Linked DNA regions of Arabidopsis thaliana. The protein of the gene in region 1 interacts with the protein of each later gene in a pairwise test. Each region holds a gene or a part of one and is shown on either strand. Other genes may lie near its edges.

Region 1 (7,619 bases):
CGTGGCCTTCGATCAATGATCCACGTGTTGTCCAAGCTATCTCCTCTTTCCCTTCCGGTTACCGTTCTTTCTTTGCTGACTCGTACCCGTTCACTGAACACACGTGGCAGTCTGAAAAACATGATCCACCGACGGGATTAATCTCAGCCGTTGATTTATACTACAGAGGAGAGATTATATACTCGAAGGTACAAGAGATGGAAACAGAGAAAGGTAAATCAGGATGGTTCTTGTCATCACCGTTTCGGGTCGATATACTCGACCCGAAAGAGTCGGTCCAAACCCGGATTCGATATCCGGGTGGGGACTACGAAGCGTGGGTGAAAGATATGGAAGAGAGCATGAAACTTAATTGGATACTAATCGATCCGATCAAGAAACGAGCGGCGAATATATCTAGTCGAAAGGCGGTGTCGGCGCGGCGGAACTGGCTAACGGGGGATTTAGAAATACGGTTTTCAACGGTAGTGACGGCGGAGGCGGCGGAAGTGGCGGCGGTTGTGTCATGCGGGTCAGCGGAAGCGTGGAAAGAGGTGGATGAGGAAGTGGGAGGAGAAATACACGTGAGGGACGTGAGGCTACAAGTAGAGGACATAGAAGGAAAATGTATGAAAGGTAGGGATAGTTTGGTAATTTTACAAGGGTTGTTAGATGGAAAGAGATCGTGTAAAGATGATGAAGAGAGAAGAGCTAAAGAAAGGTATGAAGAATACGTGCGAATGAAGATACAATGGAGAGAGAATAAAGAGAGGAGAGAAAAAGCTCAAGACACAATTTGTATGATCTTTGGGTTCTCTATGTTTGTGCTTTTGTGGAGTTTTATTTTGTTAAGGTAAATAACTATAGAAAGGTACAAAAATACTTAAATGATCCAATAATACATACATTTCTTTGTCATCTTTTTTTTTTCGTTCTTTGAATTTGTAATAAAGAAAATTGTTGAGAAATATATACAAGATATTTGGTTAGAGAAGCATGACGTAATACTGATTTTTTTTTGGTGTTTTTTTGTTTGTTTATGATAGATAAGTTTTGAATATATATAGTCGTTAAAATGTCACTTTTGGACGTATTACCTAATCTGAAAACGAAATTGGTTAAAGAAATAAGTTGCGGTCGGAAATTAGTCAGTGAAGGAATTTGGCGGCCAAAGAAGATTTTTTGGTAGTTATGGAAATATTTTTAATAATTTTTTTAGTATAGATTAAAAATTATTGTTTCCGTTTGTTGCGAACGTGTGTGGGCTTAGGGCCCAATTCAGTTTGTTAGATTAGTAGGGGTTCTTTTCCGGCAGATTAGTGGGTTAGGGATTTATAGACTTGATGGTTTGGGTGAAGAAAAAACACAAATCAGTTTTTATGTTAACCAAACGGCAATATCCACAGGCAAACACACAACACATCTCATATTCATTGCCTGGATTGCAACTATGAGTATAGGTATGATCAAAATTTTGTAACCGCATTTCGAACCGTAACCAGACTGTTACTAAATCTGGTTAAAAACTGTAACCGATAACTGAAAAACAAATTAGTTACTATTAAAAAAAATACTAACCGTTAATTATTAGTAACTGTATCAAAATCGTTGGATAATCGTTGTAATTGTGTATATGCAAAGACAAAATATAGTTGTAATCGTGTATATGCAAAGACAAATATCGAATGTTTGGATAAAAATTGTCAAAAAGGTAAATAATAGATATGAAAAAATCTAAGCTAGAAAATAATAAGATTTTTTCTCAAACAAATATGTTGGAATGCTACATTGCTTGATATGAAGAAAATTTGGTGTACAATATACTTTTTCATCTTATTAAAAGCAATACAATATTTTGGGTAATTCTTAAGATTTCGCCTTCAATATTAACTATATTGTAATCATCAAATAACAATAACCATATATAATCATAATTGTTGTAACCGTAATCATTTTAATCATAGATAGTGGTTAAAGTTAAGGTTAAAAAATTTTATAACTGTAACTGATGGTTAATAAACCGTACCCGTAATAACCGTAACCATAATCATCTTACGTGAACACTAAAATTTATATCCATCACGTTTAGATTAATCACCCATCTTTCGAAGCAAATAAGTTCCAATATGAGCTTAGAGGACATAAAACTAGTTTAGAGAAAGTTACACGGATACAAATTTGGATATATAGTTTAGTTAGGATATGATTTTATTGATTTTATTATATATTTTAAAAATAACTAAAACGTTAATGATGACGTAAGCTAATAAAGTAATAGATTAGAAATTGCAATAAAAAAATATAATGTATTTAATAAAATAGATTCATCGACAAAAAAATAATAAAATAGATTCATATAAAACTTGTATTACACAAAAGAAAATATCTTGGCGCAAGATAATAAAATAATTACAAAGTGATTTAAATTCATTTTGATTGCCGTCAAAAACAAAAATTCATTTTGATAAGTTATTACACCCAAAAAAACAAAAACAAAAACTTATTGGCATGCGGGGTACAAACACCGAGGAAGATATCGAAACACGTGTTTAAAAATGAAGAGACGATTTATTAAGCATCAATGAGAGAACTTCAGAGCTGGGTTTGAGTTCTGTCCAATAATACATAACCACGTTATCATTTTTGTCCTTTACTATCTCATTACACTCTTCTGTTATTCGCCCAATTCTTACAGTCATTGTCCACGTCATCCTTTTTCCCTCTGAAGCCGCCAAATATCAAAAAACACAAAACCTTTACCCGAAGCAAAGTAGCTGCACACTTGCCATTTATAAGGCATGTTTCTTCATCTAAAGCAAAGTATTTTCGAGTTCCTGAGCCAAAAAGATCAAACAATGTCTAAAGAAGCTGAGATGTCGATCGCGGTGTCGGCTTTGTTCCCTGGTTTTAGATTCTCTCCTACTGATGTTGAACTTATCTCGTACTATCTTCGTCGTAAAATCGATGGTGATGAGAACTCTGTTGCTGTGATTGCTGAGGTCGAGATTTACAAGTTCGAGCCGTGGGACTTGCCAGGTTTTACTTCGGTTTTCTTTCTCTTTATGTTTACTTTGGTTCACTAATTTGAATGTTTGTGCCTATAAAACAGAGGAATCGAAACTGAAATCGGAGAACGAGTGGTTTTACTTCTGCGCGAGGGGGAGGAAGTACCCGCACGGGTCACAAAGCCGGCGAGCCACACAGCTAGGATATTGGAAAGCGACCGGTAAAGAGCGGAGTGTTAAATCCGGGAACCAAGTTGTTGGAACCAAGAGAACGCTTGTATTTCATATCGGTCGGGCTCCTCGTGGCGAGAGAACGGAGTGGATTATGCATGAATACTGCATCCATGGAGCCCCACAGGTTCTTAAAACTTTCATTTTGAATAGGTTGAGTTTTAATGTTTTGAGATATATTGAAATTTGGATTTCACAGGATGCATTAGTGGTGTGCCGGTTAAGAAAAAATGCTGATTTTCGGGCTAGTTCGACCCAAAAAATGGAGGATGGTGTTGTGCAAGACGATGGCTACGTTGGCCAAAGAGGTGGTTTGGAGAAGGAGGACAAATCCTACTATGAATCTGAGCATCAGATACCAAATGGTGACATCGCAGAATCATCAAATGTTGTTGAGGTCAGCTTGCTTTTGAGGAATGTGTCTTTTAACGATGTTTAATACTGGTAAAATTATCCGCTCCAATCTTAATCGAAACCACATTAAATTCAATATAGTTCCGAAAACAGAACCGATTAAGAAACTAAAACCAAACCAACACCATAGTACCATACTATAACGGATTCATAGTACATTAGATTTCACTAAAGTTGTTATTTTACTAAAGCAGATTCTAAACTTAAAACGTAACAAACCAATATATCCAATGTTTGGTTTTTATTTTGGCTACTAATATTATAACTCAATAGACTAAACCAACACTTGGGCTGAACATCCTTAGTTTTCTTGTACTGGTAGAGTTTAGAGTTTGTAACTGAAGTTGATCTCTTTCTATTGCGATGCAGGATCAGGCCGATACCGATGATGATTGTTACGCCGAGATTCTGAACGATGATATAATAAAGCTCGACGAAGAAGCGTTGAAAGCTAGCCAAGCGTTTCGACCAACTAATCCAACTCATCAAGAAACAATATCAAGCGAGTCATCGAGTAAGAGGTCAAAATGTGGTATAAAAAAAGAATCAACGGAAACAATGAATTGTTACGCTTTGTTCAGGATCAAGAACGTTGCCGGAACCGACTCCAGCTGGAGATTCCCGAACCCGTTCAAAATCAAGAAAGATGATAGCCAGAGATTGATGAAGAATGTTCTGGCCACTACTGTTTTCTTGGCTATCTTATTTTCTTTCTTTTGGACTGTATTAATAGCTAGGAACTAAAGCTAGTTACGACATACATATTATTTATACATAAATAAATATAGTATTTGGTCTATGGCAATATGGCATGTTGAGCTAGTCTTAACAATTATTCAAACTTGTGTACAAACCAAAATTTTTATGGAAAAGAGAATATTTTCGGATAGTAAACCTTTATAATCTGGGTGAAAGCTTTGGGAAAGAGATGATAGTTCCGTGAAAATAGAGACAACAAATTTCACATATAGTAAATGTGAATAATACCACCATTTCCTTAAGTTTTGCTGTTTGTTGTATTAGAGATTGCAAAGTGATATTCTTAGTTATATACAATTGTAATAAATTATACAAAATCCATAAGTAAAATAAATTATTTTAGACTATGTTTAGATATACAAAAGTTTCAGTTCAAAATATAAACGCCTGAGAATCAAACAAATGTTGTTTGTAGTTTTTTATATTTATAAAATAGTCTAAAAATATTTTTCTTACTTATGGATTTTTTATACTATATTAAAGTTTTATATATGTAAAAGATTACTCTGGAACCTCTAATACAACAAATGGTATACCTTCAGAAAAAAATAAAAAATAATTGTGTGTCATACAATAAATAAAAATAATAAGGTGAAAAGATTTGCTTTCTGTTTTTTTTGGTGGCTGAAAAAAACAATGGCGATGATGCTTCTGCAAATTCCTCCTTCGTCTTCCTTGTTGAACACCAGAAACCTTCAAATCCGATTCTTCCACTCTTCAGTTTCAGCTTCCTCGAAGAAATTCAGATGCAGAGCCGTCCGTGAGAAGGCGGAGGACATTGATAAGAACATTTCGCCGCCGTCTTCTTCTCCTCCTCCTCCTTCCGCCGAAGAAGTTACCAAGAAATATGGCCTTGAAGTTGGTCTATGGAAGGTAAAATCAATTCGATTGCGCAATTTCTCGTTTTAATTCGTAATCTAAAATTGATGATTCTATCGCTATGGAAGCTTTAAGTGTAAGTAAAATAGTGTTTTTGGATGAACATGTGAGGACATATGATTGTTTCTGAGCTGAATGATAGGCTAATTCAGAGCAATTTTGGTATTAGTAGAAGCTATTGAAGCTTTAAGTGTAACTAAAATGGTGTTTTGTATGATTATGTGAGCAATTTTGTAGTTGTTGAAGCTATGGAAGCTTCTAAGGGTACTAAAATGGTGTTTAGATGATTATGTGAGTAGATATGATCGTTTTCGTGGTAGTTGTAGAAGTTATGTAAGCTTTTAACTATGCTAAAATGGTGTTTTTTTTTATCAACAAGTGAGCATATGTGATTGGTTAGTTTGGAGCATTTTTGGAAGTTGTAGAATCTATGGAAGTTTTTGTGTAGTAAAATGGTGTTTTGGATGGACTTGTGATTAGATATTAAGCTCTAAGGATGATGAAGGAAGTGATGGAGACAATAAGAAGAAGAAATCAAAAACAGATGAGGCTAAAGAGTTACTTGCAAAGTATGGTGGTGCTTATCTCGCTACATCTATTACTCTTTCTCTCATTTCCTTCTCACTCTGCTATGTCCTTGTGACTTCCGGTGTTGATGTTCAAGCTCTTCTTCTAAAGGTTACTACTTTCACTTCTTGATCATACTAAGTTTATGTTTTCTTGATCTTGGGTTGAGTAAAGCTGATTTTGATGTTTTGTGTTTAAGGTTGGGATTTCGACGAATGAGACAGGAGAGAAAGTAGGAGCCTTTGCTTTGGCTTACGCAGCGCATAAAGCTGCATCTCCGATAAGGTTTCCGCCTACAGTGGCTTTGACTCCTATTGTAGCCAATTGGATTGGGAAGAAAGTGGACAAGGAGAAGGATGATGACAAGTAGCTTACTTTGGAGGTATTATAATGTAGATGTTCTATATATTACTTGATAATCAACATACATAATCCTGTACAATCCTCACTTCTCTACCTTGTATGTACAAAAAAGATTGAAGCATATCTGAATATGATGATGAGTTAGAAAGATACAGAACCAAAGAGTGGCAGAATCCAAGTTGTGATATAGTTTTAGACTTGTCTATTTAATATGTGGTTGGTTGGAAATTACGACTTCACGATTCACTAACCTCTAGACATTTGGTAAGTGGGAGAAGTAGTTGTCAAATGGTTGGGAATGATCTCTGTGATCCAGAGCATATGACCTCGATCGTTTTGGTGATGCATTTTAACTTGTACTCTAGAACCTCATTATCTCGGCCCATCAAAATATGAAAACATTGGGCCGTAACAATTGGGCCGTAATCATCTATACCATCTATAGTTAATTGGATCTTTTTATCTCCTCCCTTCCTCTTTCACTTTCTTCCATGGATTACTAAATTCCTTAATCCTGGGAAAATCACACCAATCAACTTTTGTGAATTGTAACCCTAATCGATTCTACAGCGAAATCTACCTATTTCATGCTTGGGTTTGATTAGTGTTTTTCCAGAATCTGGGACTTCGCAGGAATTGCGCTAATTTTCAATCGATTTTGCAGAAGTTTGTTGCTCCTGGAATAGAAATCGAAGATGAAGAAGTACGGATTGCAAATCAGAGCTCCTTCCCAGAAAAAACAATCATCATCTCGACCTCCACTTCGACCCGCTTCAATATTTGATGAAGAAGAAGATCACGACGTCGAGAAGGAGATTTCTCGTCAAGCAACAAAGACCAAAGCTCATAAAGAAGTAAGCTTTTTTCCTCCACTGACTCGAGTTCTTGTTTCTTATATTTCCTTCAATTTGATCTGCTTGATAAGTGATTGTGTGTTTTAGATTGAGGAGCAGCATAAGAAAGCCTTAGAGGAGGATCCTTCTGCTTTTTCATATGATGAAGTTTATGATGATATGAAACAGAAAGCTGTTCTTCCTCGAATGCAAGATCGTGAAGAACGCAAGGTAATGTTTATCTCTTAGAGAGCTTAAGACTTGAAGCTTCTGTAGCTTAGGGAATCAAAATCTATGTTTCCATGTTCTTAAGAGGAATCTATGATCTGTGTCGGGCTTGGTTTATCATATGATTGAAGTATAGGAAGCCATAACTTAGCTGGATTTTCTTATTACCCTTAGAAACCACCAAAATCTTGATATCCTGCAATACCCTAACAACTACCAGCCTATAACCCATGGCTACATATAGTTACCAAAAAGTGTAAAGCTTAGTTACTTTGTTTTAGTTAAGTAGAGGTGAAGTTTCTGAGCCTCTACATGCGTCAGTTTTAGTAGTTTCTTATGGTGTTACATTCTCTGTAGTTGG
Region 2 (7,980 bases), on another chromosome or scaffold:
GAAGACTTGAGAAATTAGAAGGTGAAGTGACCTTGGTATGGAGTTTGGAGCTATTCTACTGCTTCTGTATGAGTTTATGAGTTGAAGAAATACTTGTCTTGTTTTTTTTATTTTGTTTTGGAATATGATTATGACTTGACTTTTAAAATGGGATAGGATCAAAACCTTTTACTCTGTCAGGTTCATGTGGTCACCTTGAAGGTTGATTTAGTAAATCCATGGACTTCTTTTTTGTGTTAAGATTATTCTTAGTTCAAAATTAATAGACTAATGATATTAACGTCCACAGGCATTGCGTTCAACATCTCAAATTAAAGCGTGGAAGGCTCAGAAAGTCCAATATACACTATGTTTATCTACAGTTACAATCATACTACAAAAAACAAATAATGTATACGGTTTGGTCTAATATAGCCGCATACGATTTAGTATTTACCAACAAAAAATTGGTCTCAAACCAAACCGAACAATTGGTAATTAACAATTGTTCTTTTGGTCTTGAACCGAACCAAACCGAACTGAACTATATTAACCGACCGACTTCGTCCTTTCCTCCTGATCAAGAAAACTCGTCTCCTACAAAAATCCCAGAAGACAAGAGATTGGTTCTTCTTTTGCATCATTCTTACAAAATCCCCAAAATCATTCGAAACCCCTGAGTATTCTCCTTAACTCTAAGAAATAAATTTCTGAATGGATGCATCGTCTTCACCGTCTCCTTCCGAGGAAAGCTTGAAGCTTGAGCTTGATGATCTTCAGAAACAGCTGAACAAAAAGCTGAGATTCGAAGCATCCGTTTGTTCTATTCATAATCTTCTCCGTGATCACTACTCTTCTTCCTCTCCTTCTCTCCGCAAACAGGTTGGTTTTTATTCTTAGATTTTCGGATCAATAGATTCAAAATTATTCGGAATTGTTAGGGTTTATGCCTGCCTTGACGTTTACTCATTGCTTATGTCTGATGATGGGTTTAACTTTTGAGGATTGAATCAGGAATCAAATATCTTTCTTTTATTGTTTTTCTATTTCAATTGTGGAGAAAGTTCATGTTCATGTCAAAAATTTCATTTAATCCGATCTGTTTTTGTTTAGTTACCCTCTGTGACATAGTATTGATTTGATTGCCATTGCAGTTCTATATAGTTGTATCTCGTGTCGCTACGGTTCTTAAGACAAGATATACAGCTACTGGATTTTGGGTTGCTGGACTGAGTCTTTTCGAAGAGGCTGAGCGACTTGTCTCTGATGCTTCTGAGAAGAAACATTTGAAATCTTGCGTTGCTCAAGCTAAGGAGCAGTTAAGCGAAGTAGATAATCAGCCAACAGAGAGCTCACAAGGTTTGTGAAACATTTAGTTTGGCTTTTGATGGTTTTAAGTGAAATTTATCTGGAGATGATTTTTATTTCTCTTGTGAATTTTTTGCAGGTTATCTTTTTGAGGGACATCTTACGGTTGATCGTGAGCCGCCACAGCCTCAGTGGCTAGTACAGCAGAATCTCATGTCTGCTTTCGCTTCTATCGTTGGTGGTGAATCCTCTAATGGTCCTACTGAAAACACTATTGGGGAAACTGCTAACTTGATGCAAGAACTTATCAATGGTCTTGACATGATCATTCCAGATGTAATGCCTTCTCTTTTCTTCCTTACTAGTTTTAGATTATGTACTATCACACATAGCTGATATCACAAGTTTCTTCACCTAAAGATAGAGATGAAAGCAATTCTTAATCATCCGCATTCTACTCATATGTTGTTTTTTGCATATTGAGTTTCTCCACTTGGTTGTCTCACTCATCTGTATCAAGAGTGTTTAACCTCAACCTCTAATATTGTATTGGTAGCGTCTTTTTCTTAGCTTCATGATTGAAAAGTGATATATGATGTGTTCTATGCAGATACTAGATGATGGTGGACCACCAAGAGCTCCACCGGCAAGTAAAGAAGTTGTAGAGAAACTCCCAGTCATTATTTTCACCGAGGAATTGCTTAAAAAGTTTGGAGCAGAGGCAGAATGTTGCATCTGCAAGGAGAATCTAGTTATTGGCGACAAGATGCAGGAATTGCCATGCAAGCACACATTTCACCCTCCTTGCCTAAAGCCTTGGCTGGTATAAAAAAAAAAATCCCATTCTTTCAAGCTTACTAGTAAGTAAGAACATAAAGCTTATGCTCATATTGTTTTATGGCAGGACGAGCATAACTCTTGCCCTATATGCCGCCATGAATTACCAACAGACGATCAGAAATACGAAAACTGGAAAGAGAGAGAGAAAGAGGCCGAAGAAGAGAGGAAGGGCGCAGAGAATGCTGTCCGCGGAGGTGAATATATGTACGTTTAAATTTCAATCAGTTATGGCACACTCCCATTGTCTTTCCTTGAAACATCTCCGAATTGTTGTTCATCATTCACAATTATAAATCCCATTTTACATATAGATTCAATGTCTTTTGTATGAAAGCTTATAATAACAACACAGACTTCTTTACTTTACACACAATTGTATCTTGAAGAGATGACAAGTTCAATAACATAACATCAAAGAGTCATTAGTTAGATAGACTCTAGGACAGTGTTACTAACTACAATAGTTTCTTCAGTAGAATTGTAAAATGGCAAACATATCTGACCACTCCCAGACATGGAAACAATCTTCGGTTTGTCTAGCAAACCTATACAGACACTATCATACAACACATTACACACAGCAGCGTACATGATAGATTATCATATTAATTACTATATTGACAAAACGTTTTACTTAGTTTGCTTATAAGCTTAATGTGGAGGTTTGATCTTCTGCTAAGCAGTTGGAAATTCCTCCTTGATAGAGACATTGCCTGTTGGGACATCTGTCTTTTTGAAGTCTGAAGTAGGGTAAGGGTTTTTGTTGACCAATCTGCAGATAAAAAAAAGTGAATGTTATTGTTAGATGCAATATCAAGGTTAAACATTATGATCAATCTGTCTTTACAAGTCTCTCACAGGTACATTAACAAGCTCTGTATTAGTAATCAATCAAAAACTGAATAAAATAGATCAGATTTGAATTTCCATTGAAATGGAGAAGGATGAAGTGTAATTTTAAAGGCTGCATACCTGTCCCGTCTTTTCTCGAGGAATCGTTGAAGCGAATGCCTCCTTGCAATAGGTAGATCTGTTACGGCAAACATAATTGTAAGAAACTAATGAGAGTATCCATTTTCAAGGTTTGAAGATTACTATAACCAGTTGAATCGAATACTTACCAGCCGTGGATCTGCAAAACGAGATTGGCTGAATAGGAAATGGCTGTGCAGCTGGTGATGCCACATTAGATGTGCTTGAGAAAGAAGGAGCTCTGTTCAGTGCTGGCGATGAGACAGGACTGATGCTTGTAGAATTCTTTGTCTCCATTGCTTTAGCAGCAATACGAAGGATTTCTTGAACCTATAGGCATAGATCACAGTGAGAACAGAAATTCTGAAGTTTTTCTGACAACAACAAAGCTCTAATGGACCAACCTTTTCTGATGGAAGTCCATCAAACACAGTAACACTTCCACCAAAGAAAATAGTAAGTTGATTTGGAGGAACCGTTGGCTCAGCGGTTTGAATCTCCGTGGACCTTCAATAGCAGAAGATCTATTAAACTTGTGACCGACACTATAAAGATGGACTTATTGATGCAACATTAAGAAAACTCTCCACATATGAATCCAGTCTCTCCAATTTCACATGTTAACGGTGAAGTTCTATTAATCAAATTCACATGAAAACTTATGTATGCATTAAAGGACTTTGAAAAACACAAGTTTGTTAAGAATCCAATTGTTCCAGCCAAAAAACAAATTGGTTCCATTGAGAAATATGACTTTCCCTAAATAGAAACTAAAGTAACCAGATCGAAATGCTGATCTTCCTTATCAGAAACAAGATACAATTTTAAGTACTAAACTCAAAGCAAAGAGAGAAACAGATAAAAACATGTGAAATCAACAGTAAACACAGCTCATACCTAACTTCGTTAATCGATTTCTCAACAGATCCGGTACCGCCGATCTCAGCCGCGCCGCCGTCACCGTCGGCAACACCACATCCACCTTCAACGGAAGCGCGTGGCTCATCTTTCACCTTAGTCATGGCTTGTCTCTCAAAATTTGTAGATCTGTCTTTTTCCGATGAGAATTTTGATACTTCTCTCCCTTAGAGTACTTTTGTTTCGCTTCGTCTCTACGTCGTTCAGACCGGGAACCTCCGAGATTTATCCTTCTCAGAAGCTCCTGTAATTTGACACCTGGCGATAGATATTGATTTTTATTGTTTGACTTTTGGTGCTACGACAGTAAAAGACAACAAGAGGGTAATTAGAAACGTGCTCGAATATGATACGGTGTCGTTGGCCTTCTATGTGGGACATGCTTTCTCATTTCGGTTATCCGGAACTCCAAACGTGTATAATTTATAAGTGGCTGAGACGTTAAACTAATTGAGTTTGCTGGACCTTGATTCATTGGGCTCTTAAAGTACTGTTGGGCTTAGTCGTCTTAAAATGACTTCTAAAATGGACCTTGACTGCTTACATTTATAATGTTTCTCTTTCTATTTTATAAGCCTCTTTACATTTATAGTTTTTTTTAGTAACAATATTCGCATACAAATCACGAATTAATTTATTTCTGTTTTTGTATTCGACCGCTAAATCATCACCAAATTCAAATTTGTATATGGAACATTTTTTTTTTTCCTCTATATAATCAAACAAAATGCAAAATTGTCGAAACTATAAAATTTACTTCTTAATGTAACTTATAACTTTTTGGTTAAGGGTTAATCTAAACTTTTTAGTTTTTACTGAAGGGCGCATAAGAAATCTGGGAAATACGAGGGTAGTTTGGTCTTTACGAGTTTCATTTAGGGTTCCGAAAGATCTGGGTTTTGGCTCTCTCCTCTCATTTTCTACTCTTCTTCAAAAGCACACTCAATATTTCGAGATCCTCTCGGCTTGTTCGTTCTTCGTGAACGATCCCATCTATTGTTTCTCGCTAGTCTCAGATTCGACTAACTTGGATATCTCCGATACTGAAGAAGCCTCCTTCTTCTTTTTCCGCTCTTCCCGATGCCGGTAATGTTCCTCCGTCGTCTCTTTCAATCCTTTTGCTTTTCCCCAGTGCTCTCCGTTAACTGAACTTAGCTATTTCGTATTTAGATCGATAAGATCTTCAAAGATGATGCTAGTGAAGAGAAGGGAGAACGTGCGAGGATGGTGAGTCTTTTGAATCGATTAGGATTTAGGGTTTTTCAGATTCACTCTTCTACTGTTTAAATCTGATTTTCTTTTCTTTTGTTGTTGCTCTTTTAGGCATCATTTGTTGGTGCAATGGCTATCAGTGATCTGGTTAAGTCTACTTTAGGGCCAAAGGGCATGGTAATTTCCGATCTCTGAATATTTAGAAAGCTACAAACTTTCAATTTGGTTCTATTGATTATTGTTGAATCCTTTTTATTATTGTTTAGGATAAAATCTTGCAATCTACTGGTAGAGGTCATGCGGTCACTGTTACTAACGATGGTGCTACTATTCTCAAGTCACTTCACATAGACAACCCTGCAGCTAAAGTTCTTGTTGGTATGTAATTTCCCTGCGACATTCTGGCATGAAGTTTTCACATTCGTTTTTTCTTAGTTGGGTTTTCTCTCACAGTTCGTTGTATCTGGTTTGTTCTTCAGACATCTCGAAAGTTCAAGATGATGAGGTTGGTGATGGAACTACCTCTGTTGTTGTCTTGGCCGGCGAGCTTCTGAGGGAAGCAGAAAAGCTTGTGGCTTCTAAGATTCACCCTATGACCATCATAGCAGGTACACTTTTGGAGCTTTAAGTGTTAAGATGTCAACTTTGTATCAGCTTCTCTCACTATGGCAATGATTTCTAATTTTTTCGTTTTCTGGTTTCTTAGGTTACAGAATGGCTTCGGAATGTGCTCGTAATGCTTTACTGAAAAGAGTCATTGATAACAAGGACAATGCAGGTAATCATTATAGAGATGGTTAAACCTTGTTATGCTGACATATTTAAGTATAGCATTTTCTTGTTTGTGTGATTACTTCGACTGTTGGGTTCAAGCGGTGATTTCCTTTCAGTTGAATACAGAACGGAAATCACACTGTTATTTTACAGCATTGTATTTTTGTCAATGCAGAGAAGTTTAGGTCAGACTTGTTGAAGATTGCGATGACTACTTTATGTTCCAAAATTCTCTCACAGGACAAGGAACATTTTGCAGAAATGGCCGTGGATGCTGTTTTCAGGCTAAAGGTTCCATTTCTTCCTCCTTTTGAAACTGATTCAGCAATGTCATGTGTTCCTTCCTTCTTTTTCTCTTGATTTATGTGTTATCTCATGAAAGAAGATCTTCCTTTGACGAAATGTCATGAAATTAGGCTATTATCATTTCACCATTAGTCTTTCCCATAGTTGCATCGTTTCGTTTTGGATTGTTATATGATTTTTTTCTGACATTCTGCTTTTATCGTTCAACAGGGAAGCACAAACTTGGAAGCTATTCAGATCATCAAAAAACCTGGAGGGTCTCTGAAGGATTCGTTTTTGGATGAAGGGTAAGACAACACTTTGTGCCTTTGGCGTCAGTTCAAATTCAGTTTTCTGAGCTATTGATCTTTCTTTAGTATTCATCTGTTCATGGTAACTCTGTCGTGTTTCTTTTCTTCTTCATAGCTTACGCACCTTAATTTCATTTATAGTGTTATTTTGGAATGTTGATAGTCATCATGTCATCTTGTTGTGTTGTGTTTCTTCTTCTATCGAGTAATATGGTCTCATGTCACCTCAACTTAAAATCTATGCCTGTAGGTTTATTCTTGACAAGAAAATAGGAATTGGGCAGCCTAAGCGCATAGAGAATGCAAATATCTTAGTAGCTAATACTGCTATGGATACCGATAAAGTGAAGATTTACGGTGCACGTGTCCGTGTGGATTCCATGACCAAGGTTGCTGAGATTGAAGGGGCTGAGAAGGAAAAAATGAAAGACAAGGTGAAGAAGATCATAGGCCACGGAATCAACTGCTTTGTTAACAGGCAGTTGATCTACAATTTCCCTGAGGAACTCTTTGCTGATGCTGGTATACTTGCTATTGAGCATGCTGACTTTGAGGGAATAGAGCGTCTTGGTTTGGTTACTGGTGGTGAAATTGCTTCGACCTTTGACAACCCAGAGTCTGTTAAGCTTGGGCATTGCAAGCTTATAGAAGAAATCATGATTGGTGAAGACAAGTTGATTCATTTCTCTGGTTGTGAAATGGGCCAGGCTTGTTCAATTGTCCTAAGAGGGGCCAGGTATCCATTTTCACTCCCATTACTTGAAAGACTTCGTCTAAACTTTATTCTGTTTCTAATTCACTAATCAATTTTTGTATGGGTTCTTTTTTCTTGCAGTCACCATGTCCTAGATGAGGCTGAAAGATCACTCCATGATGCCTTATGTGTACTCTCTCAAACAGTGAATGATACTAGAGTTTTGCTTGGAGGTGGATGGCCAGAGATGGTGATGGCAAAGGAAGTAGATGAGCTTGCAAGGAAAACTGCTGGCAAAAAATCTCATGCCATTGAAGCTTTCTCACGTGCTCTAGTTGCTATACCGACAACAATCGCTGACAACGCTGGTTTAGACAGTGCCGAATTGGTTGCTCAGCTTCGTGCAGAGCACCACACTGAAGGGTGTAACGCTGGGATCGACGTCATCACTGGAGCTGTAAGTAAACTTTATAAACATTAGGATTCGCCATTGAATGTGCAAGGCTAGACTTGAATTGTGATGATGATGATTGATTGTTTACAGGTAGGAGATATGGAAGAGAGAGGAATCTATGAAGCATTCAAAGTGAAGCAAGCGGTTCTGCTTTCAGCCACAGAAGCATCTGAGATGATATTGCGAGTGGATGAAATCATTACATGTGCTCCTAGGAGGAGAGAAGACAGGAT
Region 3 (8,018 bases), on another chromosome or scaffold:
AGCATGAAAAGAGATAGCAAAAAGCCCACTTTTTTGCAACATGTGGCTCTCTCATCTCTTCATGTCCCTCTCTAAGCTGACGTGTAATTTCTCCATTTTCTCTGTCTTTATGGCTTGTGGCTCTGTGTGATCCGTTATTAATTTAATACCAACCTCAGCCTCTTATACATACTCTTGTCTCAGACCTCAAATAAAGAATAAACACATAACACAAATCTAATCTCATACTCCATCTTCTTTTCTGTCTTATGTCTTCAAAGATTGGTATGTCTCAAGTTAGAGATACTCCGGTTAAATTGTTTGGCTGGACAATTACACCGGTTTCTCATGATCCATACTCTTCTTCGTCCCATGTTCTTCCTGATTCTTCCTCGTCTTCCTCGTCTTCTTCTCTATCACTTCGACCACACATGGTATGTTTCATGGTCTTACCTTTATTTGTTAAGAAATGCTAAAGATTTAATATTTTCTCTAGTCCTTGTATCAGTTTGAAACTAGTTCATGATGTTAATCCTAATCCAAGTTCCTTCAATTTTTTTCAGATGAATAACCAATCTGTTACTGACAATACAAGTCTTAAGCTGTCATCTAATCTTAACAACGAGTCAAAAGAAACATCTGAGAACAGTGATGACCAACACAGCGAGATCACAACAATTACATCGGAAGAAGAGAAAACAACTGAACTGAAGAAACCAGACAAGATTCTTCCATGTCCGAGATGCAACAGCGCAGACACCAAATTCTGTTACTACAACAACTACAACGTTAACCAGCCACGTCACTTCTGTAGAAAATGCCAGAGGTATTGGACCGCTGGTGGATCCATGAGGATCGTCCCGGTTGGCTCAGGCCGTCGCAAGAACAAGGGATGGGTTTCTTCAGACCAGTACCTGCACATCACTTCCGAGGATACTGACAATTACAATAGCTCCTCAACAAAGATTCTAAGCTTCGAGTCTTCGGACTCTTTGGTAACTGAGAGGCCTAAGCATCAATCAAACGAAGTGAAGATAAACGCTGAACCTGTTTCACAAGAACCCAACAACTTCCAAGGGTTACTTCCTCCCCAAGCATCCCCTGTTTCGCCTCCTTGGCCTTACCAATACCCTCCAAACCCTAGTTTCTACCACATGCCCGTCTACTGGGGCTGCGCGATACCGGTTTGGTCTACCCTCGACACTTCTACATGTCTTGGGAAAAGGACAAGAGACGAAACTTCTCATGAAACTGTTAAAGAGAGTAAAAATGCTTTTGAGAGAACAAGCTTGCTTTTGGAATCTCAGAGCATCAAAAATGAAACAAGTATGGCTACAAATAACCATGTGTGGTATCCAGTACCGATGACCCGCGAGAAGACACAAGAATTCAGCTTTTTCAGTAATGGAGCTGAAACAAAGAGCAGCAACAACAGATTCGTCCCTGAAACGTATCTTAACCTGCAAGCAAACCCTGCAGCCATGGCAAGATCTATGAACTTCAGAGAGAGCATATAACGTTAAAGGAGAAAAGAAACTTTGTAGATACCTTTTTTTGTGTGATGAATTAACTTTTAATATCTATCTTATTTATATACCACAATCCCCATTTTGTAGATTATCCAAACAGATGGAAATGCTGAAGTGTAATGTCTTTTTTGGTAAATGTGGTTCGAAAATATTGTTTACTCCATTATTTGTATTTTGTAGTACTAGTGTATAAATTAATTGGAAAAAAAACATATGTGTGAATTTTCATGTAAAGGAGAAAAAGTAGAGAATCTTAACTTGGAGTCCTTGGTACAGAATCCATCTGATTGGTACAAACTAAAAGCTAAAGGAGAAACATAAAAGTCTCTTTCTTTGAAAATAAAATAAGTCTCTTCATTTGCGTATAAAGGGAAACAATAAGAAGAAAACACTTTAAGCACTTTTTTCCCCCTCTCTTTAAGCACTTTACTTTGGGAGAATTACTAAAATGAGTGGAAAAATGTTAATTAGTTTTAGAATAGTTTTTATCTTTTCGAAAATCACTTAATATTGACTTCACTCGGATGTTTGTTCCCAAAAAGAGAGACTCGAGAACATCTCCGAAATAGATTGGGCCTATTGAAGCAATTTCAGACCCAATGGGTAAATTAAAAATCTTCTCTACAACAACCTTTCAAAATCCGAAAAACCCATACATTTATCCACGTTATATATTATTTTAAAAACTCATATTCAAAACCAAAACTAATTTTTTTCCTTTTTTTTTAACCCAACCAAAACTATACAAAAGAACAATTCAATTTAAATTTTTCTTTTATATCTACAACATGGAAAGAATTACAAGAAAGAAGGGCATGTGTGGGTCCGCGTGACATGAGAGAGATACATAGGTAAGAAGCTTGAAGAGTTGGAAAAACGGTTTGAAGAGAAGAAACAAATGCAATGTGTGTGTGAGATTTGGTGAGCATGTTTCATGTTTGGCCTTTCTGTTGCACAATCTCTGCCTCAATTTTGGCAGTTCCTCTTCTCTTAATTACGCATCTTCGTCTCTTTCTCCAACTCCTAGAAACTCCACTCTTTTTAATTTCCCTTCTCTCTCTCTCTCTCTCGTTGTTATTCTCAACACGTCTTTAGCAATATTTCACGTCACTTCATCATAAAAGAATCAACTTTTTAAAACCAATCTCTCTTTGTTAAATATTTCTGAACGAGTACTACTAAAAACAATGACTTATCAAATGTTACACTAGACAACCAAGTGCCAACAACAACAATCTACAGTTTAGTAATTAACGTAAACGCAAGGACAAAGGCTAGGATCTGGTTTGTTTGTTTTCTAGCTACTAAAGCTAAATGCTATTTTTTTTGTAACCAAATTTAACCACTGTCGTTATCTGATTAACACCAATTTGTTCAACATTCACGCCGTCCCCAAGCCAAGAAAATCGAAAAAATGTGGTTGCTGCTTAGCCTTTTCGAACACCTCCTCATCTACCGCGTCCATTCCGATCCAATGCATTGCATCATTTGGCTCCGGTTTCTCTTGGTTACTAGGGTCAATGTGCGGAATATTGCATAACGCGTCTGACGTGGCACCAACGTTATCGCCGACCATCATTTGGTTGCCAAACATACTCACAACCATCGGAGGTTCATTGTTCTCATAACCTGAACGTTGTAGATATAACAAAAACCAAAAAAGAGTTCAAAATATGCAAAAGACAATTGAAAAAACTATTGAAAGAGGAGGAAGAGCTATAGGCTACCTTGAAAGCAATGGAAAGGCAACACAAGCTGGTTATGGTCACTCGTGATAGGGGCATTATTAACCAGGTGATGAGTCAAATTAAACTCGGGGAAAGGCTGAGCGAAGTAATGATTAGTGGAGATAAAAGAGTGGTAATTAGGGTTAGGGTTAGGATGATGATTATTGGTGAGGTGAGGTTTAAGTGGATTATTACTCATAAGCTTTCTCCTACGGTAAGCAGAAGAGTGTTCTCTATACTTACGAGCCATGACAACATGCCAATGGTTCTTCACTGAATTATCAGTTCTACCAGGGAAAAGCCTCGCAATCATTGCCCATTTGTTACCATAAAGCCTATGTGCTTGCATCAGCCTCTCCTCTTCTTCTTCTGTGAAAGCTCTTCGGTTTATCCTCGGGTCCAATTGGTTAAACCATCGTAGTCTACAGCTCTTCCCTTTAAAAACAATCAAGATTAAGTTAATAAAACTCAAAAAAAATTACGTTAGGACTTAGATTGGACATAGAAGGCTAAAGACCAAGAAAACTAATAAAAACAAAAATTGATTTTATCACCGGATCTTAAGAACTTGACAGATCCAGATGAATCAAACAAACTGGTTTTGATGAAATTTTGAAGATCTATAAGGTTTTGATTTAACTTGCTGTCAAAAGAAATAGAAAATAAATAAGGTTTTGATTTAACTTACCAGATCTTCCTTGAAGCTTTTCAGCTATGAGGTTCCAGTTTTGTGGGCCGTAAATGGAGACAAGCTCTTTGAGTTTAACATCTTCAGCTGGTCTCCAATGTCCTCTCCCCAAGACCGATGGTTTTGAAGACGACGAGGACCAAGACTGACCACTATCTGTTGTCTCCTTCTTACCACTCTCGCTGTTACTGAAATTAGGGTTATTATTATTACTCTCTTCTTCGTGAACCGCTACATCTCCAAGAGGACTCTTCAAGATTTCAAACTCATGACTTGTGTTGCAGTGACGATGATGATGCTGATGAATATTAATGTCGTTGAAAGGGAAGTCCCAAGAAGAAGAAGCTCTTCTTGCGACGATCTCATCCATCCACACTTGTTTTTCCGTTATAAACATGGAGTTAGTGTTGGGAGAAAGGAAGAAGAAGAGAAGTGTTATTGAGAATTAAGAGAGATGTCACGTCAGCTTATAGACATATACCATCGGAGGAGAAAGACTTATGTGAGTGCATTTGCATATTATATATACACGTACGTAAATGTGTGTCATAAATATTATTTTTTAAAAATAATAGAATATCTTTTGTATATAATGGTGTGTTTGTTACGTATGGCTTTAGGTATGTGCGTGTATGTACATGTCGCGACCGTGTTTTCTGACGACTGTTAAAAAGGGTTATGGACCGTCGTCACGGACTAATTCAAACGACAGAGTTCTTTGCATTTATACATTATTATATATATTACATATACACTACTGTAATAAGTAAGTACAAATGTGTATTATCGATATTCGATTTTGCTGTGGACTGTTATACATTTGTTCAGGTGTACCTAGTTTCATAGAAGTTAAAGAGTTTTTCTGATAAATCATTTATTAAATTTAAAAGTAACTAAGATTTGAAGACCAAGTTTTTTTCCATGTCCATAGATTGATAGTAATTGAAAAGTATGCAATAGTTTTATAGTCGTATTAGGGTTCATAATCAAACGATAACATTAATTACGCTGCTTCTCTATGGTTCCTTATACAAATTTCCTACTTTTATGAATAATTAATGTTTATCTTAGTTTGATGTATAAGATAGTATTTCCTCTTTTATTTAATGAAAACCAATGGATTATGACAAAATAAATTAATGTTGGGAGTGTCGACCTAAAAAACAATGAATGTAGAGAATATCTTGGACGAGTCCGAAATGAATCTTACCGTTATTAGGTGAAATTTATCCTCTATTAATCAATGCATGTTTTATAGGTGCAAGGTGAAAATAATAAAAGCTAATGAGATGAAAGAAAAAAAGCTGAAGCAGAACTAACTACCAAAAAAGGATGAAGGCAAAAAGAGAGTTTACCATTGGGGAATGAGTCGGGTCTCTTCTTAGCACAACCAATTCTCAGACAGCTTTTTCTTTCATTTCATTTTGGGTTCCTTAAAATTTACCTCTTTCTCTCTTAATCTCCACTTGTCTTTCATTCCTTTACTTTTTACTACCATTTTTGTTTCTGTGAAACCCTCTCTTATCTTAAAAAATTAACCACAATCTTTTTTCTTCATTCAATTTTTTTCTTAATTAAACATCGCTTCAATATACTCATTTTCTCCTTGTCATGTTGTATCAAATAATCTTGAAATTTTGACTGTTTTATTCTTTGTAGCAGTCTCATGGTTTTTAATAACGAGATATTACAATGCCAATTCAAAAAAACTCTCAACCCTAAATATCCCACATACATGAGGAATGTGGCCGTGTGGAAGTGTGTATAAGTAATGAGAATGAACAGTAAAAATGTAAAGAAATAACTTTTAAGACCTTTTCGTATTTGACCAGAAATCCCAATTGGCAGACGTAACCATTAAATATGGGATAAATACAGATACAAAAGGGGTCTCAGAACTGTACGATCCTCTGCACAGAGATTTAACCGAACGCACTACAAACTCTCTTTCTCTTCGTCATATTTTCTTTTTAATTGGTCAATCACTTTGAAATACACATTAATATTATATATGAAATATGAAATAAAAGGTTGGGTGAAGAAGTATATATGAACTATATAATTTTATGAAACAGAAAGTTATGCAGCTTTATTTAATTTTATATTTTGCAGAACAAACATTTATAAAAATTGTAATCAGTTTTTTTTTACCGTTTAAAATGAAATGATGAAATAAAATATGGTGAAACACACTATTAATTATGTTTGTTTGTAAGTAGAGCCACTAGCTAAAGTGGGACTTCGATTTGGTTGTTCTTTTGTTTTGGGCTATGAATCTATCTTGTTACTTTGTTTATATCCAGTAGACTAGTACTAGATTTTCGATTCTTTCGTCTAAAATACTAAGTTATTAAAAACATATGTTCTATTTACACATGGAATTATTTATAAACATGTTAAATATTTAAACATACCTTGAAAAGTAAGAAGAGAGTCTAACTTGGAAGATTAAAGGAGTTTGATGTTACTGCTTGATCGAGTGTAGTAGCTTGTTTTAGGGAGTGACTAACAGAATAAGCAACTAAATTACTCTGGAAACAGATGTATGTAAAGCTCATATAGTGAGGGGACAAAAATTATCTGAGGTATAAAATAGATTGCGATCTCATGGTCAATCCGTTTCGGTGGATATATTAGCTACGGTCCATGCGTGACTCAGTCCAAAATTGATTACAAGCTTGAACATACCTTTTTCAACATAGCATTAATATATACTTTTGTCAGTTTGTCACAAAAATACATCAAATGTGTAATAAGGAATCACTAAAACGTTGGAATTAATCCAAAGCTCAATTTTACTCGTCTGACATAATCTAATTTTTATTTTCTCGACCATTCTTTGACCCCATAGCCCATTTAAATTTCACCTAATTCACTTTTCTTGGAATTCTTTATGTCCGTCTACAAATTTTATCAACCTTAGTTATTCATGTGTTACAATGTCCCCTTGTACGATAATGTTTAATTTTGTTACACGTTTGGTCAGGTTTGTGTTTTACTCGAAAGAAAAGTTCGCTTTCAAATAGACTCTTTTCTGACGTGGCATCCATCTATATGTAATATGTTATGTGATTAGTGATCTTAGACTAAGAATAAAAAAGCAAAGAAATAAAATTACTTACATATGGGATCTTTTTTTATTGATTAACAAGAGTTTTTTTTCTTAGATATTTTAGATGTCCTCAATAATTAGTAGTCAATGCAAGTAAACATTGAGTTCTTTGAAAATTAAAATCCGTTTTAAATCAAGAATAAGGATTGGTAATGATAATGAGAGGTGGAGATGATGAACACGTGCACATTTAGAGTAACATAGGATCCAATTCAATTCAAAGGAGAAGTCTTTTCTCTTCAACTGTGATGCGTCCCCATGGTCCGATTTTGGCGTGTGATGTCGCACAACCATCACGTGTATTCTCCTTATCGTACTACACCCACGCACGATCACAATAAATCTATCGAACAATCACGAACACTTAGGGAATATACTTGCTTAGAAAAGAGAAAACTATAGAACAAAACAAAATCGAACTAGTTTGGATTTTGCCTATGTTGAGTTCGTAAAGTATTTAGACTAATATAAAACTAGAAGGTTACGTGTACAATGTTATAAATATTAGGATTACATCACCAAAATATATATGTCATTCAATGGATTTTTAAGACGCTAGCTATAAATAAATTAGCTATAGATATGCATTTCGTTTCACCCATGAGTTTAATTATAAATATTAACTTGTCAATTAATCAAATAATTTCAAATGCTAATCAATCACGTTATTTTGTGAACAACAAAGATCAATTACTTTATGCAAATCAAATAAAAAATTAATCGTCCTATCAACGAGATTTTTCAACTATTAAGATAACTAATGTTTTTATAAAATAACTGAAAATAAGAAGTATTAATTTTGTTCTACACATGCTTTTGCGAAAATTCAAAGTGTTTAACCAATAATCAGTTCAGATTCAATTAGGTCTGATTTGGTTTGAGTGTAAATATATTTTTGTAGTAATTAATGCAACAAGGTGCCGATTTGGTGATTAAAAAGAGGAGAAACTAGTGAGGAAACAGAAGTGAACAAGAAAGTGAAA
Region 4 (6,822 bases), on another chromosome or scaffold:
CTACCTTTAGATTTTGGATCTATCGAAATCATGGGCATGAGTTCATCCCAAAAATAAACAAGTGGCTTACTGGAGTCTTCTGACAAACGGTACTCTCTAATATGATTCGAAGCCATGGAGGACACATACAAGTAGAAAGTCGGTGGCTTATGGGTGGTGACAGCATCAAGTAGCTGCTTCTGACACTTGTAGTAATGAGGAAGAACACATTTAGCTTCTCGTCCGGGATCAACACTTAAGTCCTTAAAGCTTTTGCTCAAGTTTCCAATGCATCCAATGATGATTCCATCGCCAGCTATTCCCCATGCAGATTCTAGAGGTATAGCAAGAAAAGTGAAGAGAAGATCAACAAAGTCATCACCACATTCAACAAACAGAATGTTTCCTTCCTTCTTTACAACATTTAGTGTAATCGTTTGGTCAGGTGTTGATTCCTCTCTATCTTCACAGAGGCCAGGACTCGGCAATTTCTGAATCCTCTTTGTACTATATGAACTTTTCTTTTTCAGAAATGTATCGGTCAATGGATTATCCGATGTAGACAAACACTCCAGCAAAGTCGGTACCTACAAAAATTAAGAGAAAATAGCATAAGAGCATGAAGTTTAAAAGTCTAGCTGAAGAAAAATAATACCTCTTCGAGATTAACGTCATGAATCTTCTCATCCAACTTTTCACAATCTACGTAGCCAAGATCTTTAAGAACATTAAGTGTCAACCTAACAGAGGTAATTTCCACTTTCAAATCATCAGTGATCATGAATGAAGTATGATCACTCCTAACAAATACTCCACCTTCAACACCATTTCCTGCACTGGCTAGGCCTCCTCTTCCATCAAGCTGAGTCACTTCATTCATCAAAACACCACAGCTACATCTCGAGGTATTAAAATTGCTGTAACTTTCAGTACATTGCTCACGTTCCACAAACTTAGGACACACGAAATACTTGGTAGCCTCGGAATCATCTACCCTCAGCTTAAGGTTTCGACATTTCTCATGATTCAAACTGCCCGGATACAAAAGCATTTGCTTACAAGCTTCAGTCAAGAAATGCTCAATGCCCATACTCACAACACTTGCATATATATTGCTGAAACAGCCTATTGCTATTTTCTGTGACTTCTTATACATCTCCAGCAATCTAACAATCGTTCCCATTGGCAAAGTAAAAAAACTAAAGAGTAAATCGACAAAATCTTTACCCGCCTCAACAAATACAACTTTGTTTTTCTCTTCATCTATGAGTAGTTTCAACTTAATCACCGGATTCTTCAAAGTAGCTGACATGTCTTGATACAAAATCTGCACTGATACAATGAAAAAGGTCACTTTTTACACAGCCATGTTAGAGACGATAGCTACATTGATTTTGTATAAATAGGTAACAATTTTATAAAAGCTAAACAGAGCGGAGTCTGTTCATATATCATACATGCTAAAATACGTAACGAGGCTAACAATGAACAAAAACCTCAGAAGAACATAGTCTAACGTGGCATCAAAGAAATGGTTTCCTAGTGCTTAGAAACAGAAGAAACTACAAACACATCAATTCTTGGAAAAACTACTTTCATAAATATTCAACAATATGATCTATATATGCTGCGTAAGATTTTACCTTGTTAGAGTAAACCAAGCAATTGTGTTCTTTTCATAGGACTTGAGGTTTTATATAAAGCTTAAGTGGAGGAAGTGGAACAGTTTAGAGAAGACATGGTCAAAGGCCTTAATTAAAGGTTTCGGGAATGGAAGAGGCAACAAATAACGAAGTAAATCCAATTCGCCGGGTTCATGTACCACAAGTTCCGAAAAGAACACAATTGCTTGGTTTATGTTGTTTAATTATAACGGTTCAAGTTCTCATAATAACTAAACGGAATATTAAAGAAAGTGGATGTTCCATTGGATTCAATCAATTTGATATGTCAACATAATCACTTTTTTCTTTCACAATTCCGAGAACATAATAAGAGCTTTTGGACACTCAAGTCATCATTGAATACCACTAGACTTGGTCTGAAACCATAAAAGCAAATAAAGAACATATACCAAATCCACACTACAAAGCAGATGATATAAGATGAAGTTTGAGAGGAGTTATTGAGAAATGTAACCATGGATAGTGATCTTGAGAAATATCACACTTTCTTGTTAAAAGTTTCAGACTTTACCCATCAGACTGGTTCACTTCTACTCTAGAAAACTTGTCAGAATGAAAAACTAAAGAAAACTGAAACATACATTCCGCAAAAGCTTTCATTTTGCTCGGTCACAACCGCGCTTATTAGCTCACAATCAAAGAAAGTATAACATACTATTGTAACGGCGACAACTTCTATAGCCATGTTCTTTCAGAAGAACATAAACACTCAAAAGTAGTATTCATATAAGAATAGCTTAGAAGAACAATACACATCCCAAACCTCTCTCTCTCTCTCTCTCAATCTCTACACACCAAAGTTAGAGCAATGCAGAGATTTCTAAGCAACACAATGAGATGTATCTCACAGTCACAGGACAAGAATCAGTTTCTCCAATTAGTAGAAATGCTAATAGACACAACATCTTTAAAATTACCAATTCCTATAAAAGTTCCTCATGATCCATACATTCTCACTACACTTTTAGCAAAACAAGATTTTGATTTGAGAACAGAGTAAAATTTGCAATTGTGAACAAAATGAGAAATTTTACTTTAGGCTGAATCAGTCTTTGCTTTCCCTTTACTGAAGAAATCATCGATACGACGAGTCCCAATTGGCGGCGCCGGAATCTTCTTGTCGGAAACCGATTTGGTATGTTTGACAGGCTGAGCCGGCAACGGAAGCGAGTCTAAGAGGAAATCACTAGTAGGTTGGTGTCTTTTCACGGCGATTCTTAAATGATCGAGATTAACAGTCTTACGCTTCTTCTCCGCCGTAACAACAGCAGATTTCTCGGCGAGGAAGTGGAGGAAGAGTTCGGTGGAGTAAGTGATGACGTGAAGAGCTTCTGAGTTGATTTTGTTGATGTCTTTGTCCAGTTTCATTATCTTCTTTACTCTTCCGATTGGAAACTCTGGTCGGATTGATCCTTCTTCTTCCTCCATGGATTTTGATTTTGATTCTGTTGAGAAAATCTGATTAAGGTAATGAATTGTATATGTTCGACATTTTTAGGGTTTTGAGATTTACGCGCTCTGTCACGGCGGGAAAATGAAAATGAGCAATGAGAAAACATGTAAACCGGATTAACCAAAACAGCCCGAACGAAGATTTTGCTAATTCGGGTTTTCAGCTTAAACCGATTGGTGAGATTGAGAAGAACGTTTGGTAACCCGGTATGGTTCGTAGATTTTTATGTTGTAGAGATTGTTTCTACATGAGTCACTGTCTAGCTCAAACTAGTACTAGTAGTCTATTTTAAAGTTTTATATTGAAAATTTTAACCGATTCTTTCTTTTACTTGGATCACATTGTACAAGGAATTCTAGAAAGCTACAAGTTGGTACAAATCTCCTAGCTACCTGAATTGAACCCCATTGATCCTTCACGAACGCAACGGATTTAAGGAGTGGCATATCGAACTAGAAATGCCATCAAATAACAAATGAGCTTTAGAGATAGTTCCAAGTGTGGATAATGATTTGAGATTATACTTCTATATGGCTGTAGGAAGCCTTTTTTTGGCTCCGAGATGTTTCTAATCTTGAGACTTGAGAGACCATCTACTACAATTGTAGCTGTTTAATTTGTTATAACTAATCCGTTTCCTCTTTACTATTCGCAGCTTTTCACAAAATTCACACACAACACTCCTTCCTCTACAACGTTTTGAGGTTGTAGACATGAACCAATTTCATACCATTGGAACAAGAGGCTGTTGAAACATCTCATGGTCACATATTGAGTACTAGACATGAACCAAACACATCCAACAAAGTCCATTTACAACAATATACAAGAAGAAGCTAACTTTTCGTATCATTGGATCAAACCCATCATCTTAATTCTTAATAGTTAATACTAAAGATTTGAGCCACCAATAATGACAAATTCGAATATTTTGACTATGAACAGTAACAAAACAACCCAACACAAGAAAAAATATCACAGAAGCTATCAAATCTGTTTCTCATCTATGTGTATATATATATAATCAACTTACAAGACAGAGAGTGAGAGAGTTCAAGAGAGAAGAATCGTTTACAAAGTATACAAATTTCTTGAGAATCATCAATAAGGACGATTCGGTGGCTGAACCGTAATCTGAGCCGGTAAAGGTCTACCAGTTCCAGAACCACCACAATTGCTACAAGCCGCACGACCTGAACCAGAACACCTACGACATCCAACGTCACCATCGGACCATCGAGAACAGAAACACGTGACTCGTCCAGTACCGTTACAAGTCGGACAACGAGGGAATTGACCAGCCATAGGCTTTTGGTCCATGACTGATTTGATAAAGACCGCACCGGCTAAAACGCTGATTCCTGTAGCTAACTGGGTTATGACGATCGGACTCATTGTTGGTTTCAATAAGAGAGAGAGGTTTGGTTTTGGTTGCCAATTTTGGGGATAACGCAAAAGTAGAATCGTGAAGAAATTGAAGAAGAGAGACGTCTCGAGGAAAAAATAAAAGTTTTTTTTTTTTTTGTGTTCAGACAAAAGTGTGGTCTTGTTTTAATTTGATACGGTTCGGTTTATTTTTGAAGTAAATACAATTTTGGGAGATAAGGGAATGGTTGAGAAAGTAAACACGTGGGCTAGTGAGGGTTAAGTTGTTGTGTGAGGAGATGAATGAAACAGCCGTGTTTTTTTTGGATACTCCAGTTTTTGGATTTGGGTTTTTATTGGGCTGTGTGTGTAAAATATCTTCTACAAGTGTACAACCTTCAGATTTTTCTTTTTTTTCTTTTTTTTTTTCGTCAGATTTTTCTTTTTTTTAGATTATCATTGATTTATCTGACTGCTTGCTTTTTTTTTTTTGTCATCAAAGAAGCAAGCAACTAATTTTTCTACTAAAAAAAATCAAAATTTTATTTATAGTAATTGAGGCCACAAGCTTGTGTTTGACCCGCTTGTACTTATGGACGGCTCTGTATTTTACCTAATAGATTTGAATGGTAACCATTTTAATAACAATACAATTTTGACAGTTACTAATCACAAAAACTTTATCAAAAGCGTTACAAAAAAATTTACTCTCAGTTTTTTTGTACAGCTCATTTTAACAGTTTTACACTATTCCGATAAAGCTAACAGCTAAATAACTTGTATAGTTTTTGGTTACCAATCAGACCCAATATATATGTTCTGTGTGATACAGTTCTTTTGTTGACTTTTATAACATAATAAGTTTCTCGTTAGAAGTTTTTCACAAATTCACTGTAAATTAATTAATTGATTAATCGAAAGTATAAACTATGTTACGAATTAGTCAATAGGGAAATGATTAAGTTTGCAGTGATAACCGAACTTACATGCACTAAAATTAGAGGAATGTAATTCTTACTTTGTTTGGTTAGGGTTTATTGTTCTATTGTTACTATTATATTGTTGTACTATCTTGCAAGGGTTGCAATTGTAACCTTCCATTTCATTTTTTGGGTTAATTTTGTTTCTTTCACGTTTGTACTATAACTAGGTTGCTTGAATTATCAGGCGATGCACTCTTCTCCACAAACAAATCACGCGTCGAACGCAGCCATAAACATGTCCAATGGTGGACGAAGAAGCAATTCTCACAACCGCACGTGCTTACTTCCAATATCGGGCTTTTCAAATTCGGCGTGGGCCGAGTGGCCCATATATGAAGATTCTGAGCTATTGTTGCATCATTTTGAAGTTTTTATTATTGTATACTAGATGAGTACCCGCACTACGTGCGGGTTTATGTATTACTATTTACAAATTGTTTTATATAATGTCTGTTCATATAAAGTAAAGTTAAATGCATCGGTTTTGAAACATAAATATGATTTGTAATTGTTTTCAAAAAGTCCAACTATATTAGTTCATCTGAAAACGAAAATGCTTGAGTTATTTTTTATTGTTGTTCTAGATTCTCAGTTTTTTTTTTTAATTTATATATCCTTGTTCTTTTGGTTATATATTTAGTTTGTGAAACGGTGAAATTTTAGAAAATTTCTTTCTTACATTTAAAATATAACATGTTTTTATTAACCATGTCTCTGCATAACCAATCTAATCATATTCAACTTGATGTTCTTGGAAAGTTTAGTTAAGTTCTTGTCATAATCTTCTATCTTACGTATTAGTTTTAAGGATAACTCCTCAAACATCTTTCAAATTACTTGTTTTCTTAGCATAAATCTTGAAAAGCTTAGATATATTTAATCTGCATATTCATTTAGTTTCTTTCATAATAATCGTGTAATTTTTAGGCAAGGAATATGTGTAACATGTTTGGATCTCAAAATTAAAAAGGATATATTGAATTAAAAAATGTAGAAAGAGTGATGGTTCAAGTTCTGATTAATTATATCCTCCTATTTTAGTTATTATGTTGAATTAATTACTATTTATGTATTATTTATTTTATGAAGTTTAGGTGGGAAGCTCTCATGTGCTGATGTGTCAAGTTGTAGGAGAGAGTTGGCCAACTTTCATATATATGATTCGGTTGAGTCTTTAACATCTTGAATAATTGCATTTGACATCTGTAGCTTAATTTAGTTTGTTTTATTTGCTTTGCTTTTTGTTCATGACTTCATGCTTATTAGCTATGATTTGTTTACTTTGTGAATTAGTTCATTAGGATTTGTTTCTTGAAACCAAACATCATCATCATAGCTTAGATCGTTTTATCATGCG

What was found.
Region 2: the proteins of NTL8 (region 1) and JAZ12 interact in a two-hybrid assay, tested with the Arabidopsis thaliana proteins (one large-scale study listed by BioGRID).
Region 3: the proteins of NTL8 (region 1) and MYB117 interact in a two-hybrid assay, tested with the Arabidopsis thaliana proteins (one large-scale study listed by BioGRID).
Region 4: the proteins of NTL8 (region 1) and NF-YC13 interact in a two-hybrid assay, tested with the Arabidopsis thaliana proteins (one large-scale study listed by BioGRID).

Annotation. Positions count from the first base shown.
Region 1 is NC_003071.7:11,677,171-11,684,789, reverse strand, and holds NTL8 (NTM1-like 8), read left to right. Parts: upstream 1-2,818; 5' UTR 2,819-2,834; coding exon 2,835-3,015; intron 3,016-3,088; coding exon 3,089-3,342; intron 3,343-3,414; coding exon 3,415-3,612; intron 3,613-3,998; coding exon 3,999-4,373; 3' UTR 4,374-4,514; downstream 4,515-7,619. Other genes in the region: AT2G27310 (F-box family protein), read left to right, coding at 1-836; AT2G27290 (FAM210B-like protein, putative (DUF1279)), read left to right, coding at 5,025-5,261, 5,748-5,945, 6,034-6,204; AT2G27285 (nuclear speckle splicing regulatory-like protein (DUF2040)), read left to right, coding at 6,893-7,051, 7,139-7,261. UniProt on the Arabidopsis thaliana protein: Transcriptional activator activated by proteolytic cleavage through regulated intramembrane proteolysis (RIP), probably via metalloprotease activity.
Region 2 is NC_003076.8:7,087,024-7,095,003, reverse strand, and holds JAZ12 (jasmonate-zim-domain protein 12), read right to left. Parts: upstream 4,301-7,980; 5' UTR 4,122-4,300; coding exon 3,997-4,121; intron 3,607-3,996; coding exon 3,504-3,606; intron 3,430-3,503; coding exon 3,249-3,429; intron 3,158-3,248; coding exon 3,100-3,157; intron 3,090-3,099; exon of another isoform or gene 2,900-3,089; coding exon 2,803-2,899; 3' UTR 2,465-2,802; downstream 1-2,464. Other genes in the region: EIF2 BETA (eukaryotic translation initiation factor 2 beta subunit), read left to right, coding at 1-10; AIP2 (RING/U-box superfamily protein), read left to right, coding at 694-861, 1,134-1,338, 1,427-1,623, 1,898-2,110, 2,192-2,341; AT5G20890 (TCP-1/cpn60 chaperonin family protein), read left to right, coding at 5,098-5,103, 5,188-5,244, 5,341-5,406, 5,496-5,607, 5,709-5,837, 5,936-6,007, 6,179-6,294, 6,520-6,596 and 3 more. UniProt on the Arabidopsis thaliana protein: Repressor of jasmonate responses.
Region 3 is NC_003070.9:9,267,335-9,275,352, reverse strand, and holds MYB117 (myb domain protein 117), read right to left. Parts: upstream 4,402-8,018; 5' UTR 4,321-4,401; coding exon 3,924-4,320; intron 3,671-3,923; coding exon 3,236-3,670; coding exon of another isoform or gene 3,225-3,235; intron 3,138-3,224; coding exon 2,890-3,137; 3' UTR 2,640-2,889; downstream 1-2,639. Other genes in the region: AT1G26790 (Dof-type zinc finger DNA-binding family protein), read left to right, coding at 249-413, 543-1,496. UniProt on the Arabidopsis thaliana protein: Probable transcription factor that involved in boundary specification, meristem initiation and maintenance, and organ patterning.
Region 4 is NC_003076.8:17,353,475-17,360,296, forward strand, and holds NF-YC13 (nuclear factor Y, subunit C13), read right to left. Parts: upstream 3,233-6,822; 5' UTR 3,093-3,232; coding exon 2,700-3,092; 3' UTR 2,371-2,699; downstream 1-2,370. Other genes in the region: AT5G43240 (hypothetical protein (DUF674)), read right to left, coding at 1-566, 635-1,291; AT5G43260 (chaperone protein dnaJ-like protein), read right to left, coding at 4,219-4,512.